Coturnix japonica: one gene and its partner. The protein of the gene in region 1 interacts with the protein of each later gene in a pairwise test. Links are inferred from orthologs where the notes say so. Each region holds a gene or a part of one and is shown on either strand. Other genes may lie near its edges. The genes, in order: DLC1 and RASA1.

Region 1 (4,422 bases):
GAAATGGCAACAATAGAGTAAATGCAGCTTGTGCAGATTTACTTGACGTTAGCTACCAGTTGGCTAGAGACTTCCAGACCAAATTATTGTGTTTTCAGGTTATACCACTTGTAATATATGCAATTGCATTATATTCTACCTAAAGATAAATCAAGTGAAGGATGACAATAATGCGGCAAACAATAAATTGGAACAAGATGATGTTCCAATTGTTTCTTACATATATAAATACACACACACACACATACATATATATACACACACATACATACACACATATATAAGAACTTAATACCATGATAATCCTAATTTAATTTCCTTACAACAGTTGAGACCTGGGAAAAGCTTGTACAGCAATATCAGAAATATAAAGGGCAATTCAGAACATTCAGGAAAACAAACTGATTTTTTTTCTGGTAGTCTGAAATAAACACATTTTGCCAGGCTAAATATCAGTCTCAGAGTTCTCTCATTCACTGAGCTGCCTTTGTCAGTGTCAGGAAGTTAAAAGCCTTATTAGCCATCAGCTAACAATTTTGGTAACAATAGGTAGAAATGCATTAAGAAGATACTATCGATATAATTCACAAAGACTGCCTGCCCTCAGGACACAGTTACATTCAAATATCAATAAAATCTGTATTCCTGTAATTTCCCTATCACCTCTGCTTTTCATCAAATGAGACTAGCGATATGTTCTTTACTGCCAAGCATGGAAAGAGTGAAATGATTTCTCTCTCCCCATACACAGTGTCTGCAATCTGCATAACTCTCACGAAGTTACAGAACTCTTGCTATACAGCAAGACTACTTTTTGGCTGGGGCAAAGGATAGGGGAGTATGTGGAAGAACACGTAGGAAATGAGGTTTTAACTGCAAAAAATAAGTATTAATATGTCAGATAACTTCATATGCAGATGCAAAAGACTCTTCCTTTGGCTTCTGTTTTTTCTCCTCTTCTGTTCCCTGCTCCAAAAATGCCCTTCTTGTTCAAATCGTGCAAGGCACTGCACTTGTGTATAGTCTGTTTTGTTCCACAGGGAAGAGTGAAAAAAAGTAAGAAAACAAAGCAAACAATCTGGAGACTTCTCACAACATTTGGATATGGATGACATTCAAGTATGGAAAGTAAAGAATGGGTCATTGTTCATTGTCATCTTTCCAGGGAAGCAATTTTCATTGCTCTACATTGTCATGAGATAAATATTAACGCTTTTTTCCCCCAAGAAATGGGAACAGAAAACCTGTTCAATTCACAGCAAAATGTGCTATAGGGCCTGTGGAGGAGAAGCTCTTTGAAAAATAAAACATTTTTTGCAATGGACAAAGCACGTGGGATAAAGTCTGCTAAAGCTATCAGACAGCCGTATAAGTGTTGAATATATCAAAAACTATATAACTAAGAAACCAAATGAACCACTTGTTTAATATACTAAGAGATAGCCCAGTTAGTGTCAAATACCATAAGAGAATATGGTACATACGACTGTGAGATTCAGTGCCTCTAAAACTAAGTAGCTCAAACACAACAGGACCCTGATCATTCACTAATTTGTGAATGAACAGGGTTAGCAGCTGAAAATACTCCTAATCACTGCCCTCAGAAAAAGAGCAGTTGGAGAAGCACAGGAAAGGCAGTTGTCCTTCCAAACTTTTTGGTGACAAGGAACACTTAAACATTAATGATTGCTATGACAATTTACACGTATAAGTCAATTTTATTATTATGACTCAGACATTTCATTACATAGACTTCTCTGTGTATCTGTTAATGAAGTAATTTATGCTGTAGCTGATTATGTACATAAAACAACCAGTCTAACAAAGATAAATTATTATATTTCCTTTCACAAGCAGTACCCAAAGCAGGGAATACATTTAATAGACTTGAGATTTCCTAGCACTCTCTAATTTGGGTTTCAGAATTTTTCAGTAGGGGAACATTTTAAGAGCAGGTTAAAATGATTTTTTATTCACTTACAGTTACAAGTAGGTGCTCTATACATCACACTGACAACGTAAACCTCCAAAGTATAAAAGTCAAAGACCCTTGCCCTACCTAAAAGCAAACTGATAGATAAAACCGAGGAATTTCAATTAAGAATGAATGTGCAATTACTTTAAGGAAGAATAAAACCAAGCTATCCATTAGGAATATACAAGCAGCTGTTTAAAAAAAAAAAAAAAAAAAAGGCTGTGTGATCATTCAATTAGCTCTCAACCTTGAAGGCCACAGATCATTTCATTTGTCACCACATCGATTAGGCAGCTCTACATTTTGAGGGCTGCTTGCCATTAGGTCATTAAATCCAGATAATTTATTTTCTTAGATTTGCATGAATACATCCTACATTAGCTAATTAAGAAAGTCAGAAAATTTGTATCAAGCCCTTTTTATGTGTATAACAAATTACTATTCTGAAAACGCAGACATATTATATGTATTTCTTCAAGGTAAATTACAAGCAAGGACTTACTTAAAACTGAAAATTGTCATATCCATTCTGTTAACTATGAAACTACAAGATAAAAATAAATACTGAAGAAATAAATAGAAATACTATTTATTTAAAAATATTTAATTTAGAAATAGTAAACATCTTAAGTAAGAATCTTAAGTATTCTCTCAAAATCATAAAAATCAACATATGAAGTACAAGAGCCATTTCTAGAATTTTTACATGCTTTTGAACCCTCCTTTTTCCAATGATAAAACAACATCCACATTTATCAGGAGCTTGAATTGAAAATATACTAACTCTAACAAGTAAAGGCAGTTATACAGTTTTTAAAACACTTTTTTTTTTTTTTTCATAGAAGCTGAACTGATACTGTAGTATCTGAAGTAATTTTATTTAAAGAAAAATTACTTAGAAATGCTTTCTTGTTTTGTTTCAAGGTGTATCAAAGATCATTCTCCTACCTTAGTTAAAGATGCCTGCTTCTGACTGGAGCAGTTTTACTTGCATGCTTGTAAACTCTTGAGCAGTAATCCTGTTATGTGTCTACAGCAGTTTCATAGGGGTGGGACTTCTATCTAATAATGAATTCACCAGGGAATCTTCCTGTTCAAAGAACACTGCTGCAGAAAAGGCACTCTACATTTACCGTCACAAGGTTTTAGATGATTAGGTTGACACAGGGAGTAAGTACACTTACATATATTTAGTGATGTGGAATAAAATATTTTCTATATGGTAACATTTGGACAAAAAGACTGAAAATTGCATTATGCTTTACAGGAGAATTTTAAATGTGTGTGTGTATACAGAGATTAAAGAAAATAAATATGAGAAAATCACTTATCTAGTGTGGGTGTAGCATACCGACATGACTGGTAAGGTTAGTAATTTTAAACATTTAATCTGAGAAGCAGAAACTCAAAATCATATTTTAAAATGTGTATTAATACATTCAAAATTGTACTTTAAAGTACCGATTCATACTTTAAAAGTTATATTTTATTGTATCATCATAAATGATGAGCTGCCTAAAAAGCAGATGCACATCCACACACTGGCAACCACTAATTTCCCCTGTCCAGTGGCAGCACAGATCTAATGAAGGAGCCCTGTAATATGTTAACTAACTCAATAACATCAAAACTAGCTTCCTACAAGCTCTGTGAATGTGAGTGGTGATACTTTTGGCCACTATTAAGATGTACGAGCAAAAAAATACTGGAGAAGACTTACATGGTTATCGAAAGAGACATTTCTGACAAGGCTACAGCACCGAGCATGAAAAAGGCTGAGAAAGTGTTCCGCTGTTCAATCAACCACATTAGTGAAGCTAAATCATCCAGCGTTTTTCTCATCTTGTTTGTAAATTATGAAAAGCAAAATAAAGCACATCTAGACCTAAAGTTAACAAAACCAAGTTAAAAATAGAACTTGAAGGATTTTAAGATACCCAAATTTAAAATAATCGAGATCCTCAATTTTTGCTAATGTCTAAATCAGGAAAACCTCTAAAGGAATCTACATAATATAAATAGAACTAAGATTCCTATCTGCCTCTAGAATTGCATGTTTAGTTATTCGCAGATGTCCATTTGAAGACAGGGTTGAGAATGTTTGTAGCTAGCTCTTTCAAAATGTGAAATTGGGCCAAGTAAACAGATGGTTCATTCCCTAAAATACTTAAAAAGCACCACCCTACCTTTCTGCTTCTGCTTGATGCCTCTGATACATTGACGCCTCAATACAGGTACTGAGAGTCACACCTTTCTCTGAATTGCTCTGATTCAGCATTGATTCAGTGTAAGGAAGACAAATCAACTCCCCTGCCTTTGATTTCATTTCCCAACTGTATTCAAGTGCCCTTGTTGATGCAAGTCACAAAGTGGTCTATGTGCTTACTACACCTTCTTTTGAAACTTTTTCAATAAGGACAGAACACCAGAATTTGAGGTACTTAAAA
Region 2 (3,826 bases), on another chromosome or scaffold:
TCTTTACACTGTGAGAGTGGTCAGACACAGGCACGGGCTTCCTATAGAGGTGGTGGATGCCCCATGCCTGATTTATATTGTATAAGAAAGCATACTGGCTTACAGTCAAAGCATAAGTAATCACCTTGAAACATGAAAGACTTGCCACTACAATCTATTCCCACAAACTTTTAAAAACAAGCAAAGGCTCAGCATTAGTTCCCAAGCAATTAAAGACACATGAAGGATTTGTTCTTTCAGGAAATACTACCATAAGAAATCCCCTACATGAATGTGCCCCACAGGACTCATGGCCAATAAAATGTTTATTGGGTCACACAGCAACCATTTGCTACACACCTCTAAATCTGTACATGGAATTATGGTGTCTCGGCCATTTTGTATGCCACCATCCATTTGTCAAAAACACTACCAAGTGTTAAATTACAAGCTATTTTAAATGACACTTTGTTCACAGCCTTCCAGTTTATGTTGAAGGAAACCTAGCTGTCCCAATCATTGCATTATACAAAATCTCATTTCTTTTTCCAGTGGAATTTCAACCTTCTGTTCTCCATCTGTTTCACTGGCTGGTGAATGTGTCCATGTCACAGCATGGGGGAGAGCAGGAAGTAACCGGAGCTAGAGCTCTTTATATCACTACCCTCAAAGAAACAAGCAAAACTACAAACTTCATCGTACTTCTGAGAAAAGGGCAAAAACAGAGTTTGGGATTATTTTTCTTATTTTTTTCCTTCTTCCAATAGCAGCTACTTAAAATATCGGAGGAACTTTACCTCAGCTACAGTTCCTCACTATCAGCTAAAGTTTCCTTCAGTTGATGAAACCATGCATTTCCTTCTCCCCACATTCAGAACCAGTTACTGCCCAGTTTCACAGCAGAGCGCTTCTTAGGAGGTAGTCATCAAACAAACTGTTCCTTCTTTACATTGTACAAATATGCACCAAAGCTTCCTTCATAATTGCCAGCTTACATACAGAAAATTTCAAGTGTTTATTTATTATGGATGGTACCATGGATTTTTAGAATTTTTGAGTAAAAAAAAAAAGGTTGGAATAAAAATGCCAAATATTTGGGATACTCATCTTAAATAGAAAACTCTTTATAAACTCTGCCTATCCAAGTTAGCTTTCAAATATCTATCAAAGGTACAATGATGTCTCAGCATTGACAAAACCCTTAATCTTCTCAATTCTTGATTCTATCTGGTCAAAACCCTCAGCATTATTTCATCATTTCTCACGTATCTATCACAAAACATGAAACAATTATTATGCTTAATATTCAGATACAATAACACAAAAAGCTTGAATGATTACACCTTATTTCACAAAAAAAACCTTTAACTTGAAATACCAAAATCGTTAATTTCAATTAGTTTAGGAACAGTTACTAGTATGAATATGAATGAATAACTGCAATCAATACAAGCCAGCTCACTGGCAACAAGTTGCATTTGCACTGTGCATGTCTGAAACTAACAGTCAAGTCTCCTGCTGCACATACAAGAATTATGGGCCAGCATCCTACCTGCCAAACAAGCTGTCATGTACTCCATACACAGAACACACGCTAAGGTCTATTAGTCCTTTGGGTTTTGTGGCTCGTTTTTCACTTTCAAAATAAATAAGCTGGGCATCATTTCCCTCTAATATAAAGTATAAGTTTTTCCATCTTTTTCCTTTACCTGTAGGAAAGTAAAGCCAGAAGTTGTAATTGTTTTAAATAAAACATCAATTTTGTAAATTCAGATAACAAAGCAGAGCTGTTTCTGTCAAGCATCAAACAGAAGGATATTTAGCTAATCACTATTATAATGGCATAGCTAGTCACTGTAGAAGACCAACAAAAAACACTTTCTGACCTGCTGGGTGTATTTGATTTAAAAAGACACCTGAAAGGGACCCCCGTGAGTCATCATCTTCATATTGTCAATGGTCATCATTACTGTTTGCTGATTCAAGACTATAACCTCTGGCCAAGTGCACACCCTCCCCTCACCCCTTCTTCAGCACTGCAGGCTGACACTGGAACTCTTTGAAAGAGACCTTTTGAACAGTCTGGTGACCAATCCTTTTCCTGTCAATTTTTCTGACTCTCACCCCTTGTCTGTTTTCCTCAGTTTCACCTTTTCATTATTTTTCTCTCATAAAATTAAGTTTCCTAAAATCTGTAACAACTTCATGAGATAAGTCAAAATTGTTAAGTACTAATGTTATTCTGGTTCTTTAATATCATATAGTTTATCTGGATGGTTTAACGTAGATTCTAAGTATTAGAGTGCCAGTATTTTGAGGATAATTGTAGCATGTAGGTTATCATGAAAATGGATGATTGAATGTGGACCTCCTATGCATCATTTTACCATAACCTAACCGGGGGCATTCATGAATCTGGTCATCAGTTCCCTCCCTTTAGGGGCAGGATGTGACAATCACACACATATCAGTATATATATACACATATATATATAAGCATATATACTCAATTTTGTGCAACATATAGCTAAATCCAGACTATCACCACAGTTTTACATATGGTTGCAATTAGTTCTTTAAACATCTTAATTTCATCAAGACTGCATATGCGAGTGCATACAAGCTGCTAGGACACTGTGTACACATGAATAGGTTGACTTGGTATCTGTACAGTTAACAGTTTATGTCCTGATTCACCGATCCCATTTTATTCCAATAACTTTTAATTAGGAAACAGGCTCTAGACAAGAGAACGCTACTCCTGAACTCTGAGCAATTTGCAGTAGGAACATCAAAGCACCATAAAAAATATGACTGAACAGCAGAGATGGGAACACATTATATGCAGATCTGAATTAGAATCACACGCTTTTATCCACCAAATTGTCAACTTTCATTTTTCATTCAGAGAAATTAATCTCTGACCTCCAATGGATTAGATCTTCCTGGAACTAATTCATATATGACACAATATGTTTTAGAAAAATAAAATAAAATAAATGCAGATTTATCTTTATAGTTTGAATATGATGAACTCACCACACTAGCAGTGTGGTTTTGAAAACACGACTCTACCATCCAGTTATTACATTGTCCACTAGATGGCAGATAGATTATATTTGTTCCATATGTGGCTATGGGCACCTCTCTACATCTACACAGCACTCCTGTTTGCATTTTCAAGTATCTCATTTTCTCTTCTAGCTAAAATTAATTATGGCTGATGGTACCAGTGATATAACCCTGAAAAAGTCCCTATGTATCTTATAGATAAAACAGTACTTTTAAGATTTAAAATATGCAGCGTAGCCTGGAATAACAAAATAGCTCTGATCTGCAATGATCAGATTTATATCCTCCTAGCTTGCTTCAATCTATTCTGTCTGAAAAAATATGAGCTTCAAGTAAAACACACAGTTTTGGTTACCATACTTTTTATCAGACTTTTTCACACTCTTCACACATTTTCTCTATCTTTTCGCTTCTACTTTGTCCTTTCTAGTACTAGTTTTATGTAATAAGTTACCAAACATGCATCCATGTTTGTTCCACAGAAAAAAAGCCATAAGCAGAACTCACTTTTCTTCAGAAGATAGCCTTTTTTGACAATGTTTTTATAGAAAGCATCCTTAGTTTTGCGACGAATTGTATTGTAAATTTCTTTTCCATCCAATGTATCATTGAACACTTGCTCTTGGTGCTAGGAAAGAAGGAAGAAAACAACGTATTTTAAGTTCAGAAACTGCTATTTAAAAAAAAAAAATCACATACTTTGAAGGCTGCAACCGAGATCATCTTACTAACAAACTCTTTAGTATTATGTATTACATTGCTGTATTAAAATGCA

The links.
Region 2: the proteins of DLC1 (region 1) and RASA1 interact in binary tests that used the Homo sapiens proteins (3 or more experiments, as listed by UniProt). The link is inferred for Coturnix japonica from reciprocal best matches to the Homo sapiens genes DLC1 and RASA1.

Annotation. Positions count from the first base shown.
Region 1 is NC_029519.1:58,027,096-58,031,517, reverse strand, and holds the start of DLC1 (rho GTPase-activating protein 7), read right to left. Parts: upstream 3,020-4,422; 5' UTR 2,924-3,019; intron 1-2,923. UniProt on the Homo sapiens protein: Functions as a GTPase-activating protein for the small GTPases RHOA, RHOB, RHOC and CDC42, terminating their downstream signaling.
Region 2 is NC_029547.1:54,337,477-54,341,302, forward strand, and holds part of RASA1 (ras GTPase-activating protein 1), read right to left. Parts: intron 3,680-3,826; coding exon 3,559-3,679; intron 1,689-3,558; coding exon 1,532-1,688; intron 1-1,531. UniProt on the Homo sapiens protein: Inhibitory regulator of the Ras-cyclic AMP pathway. Stimulates the GTPase of normal but not oncogenic Ras p21; this stimulation may be further increased in the presence of NCK1.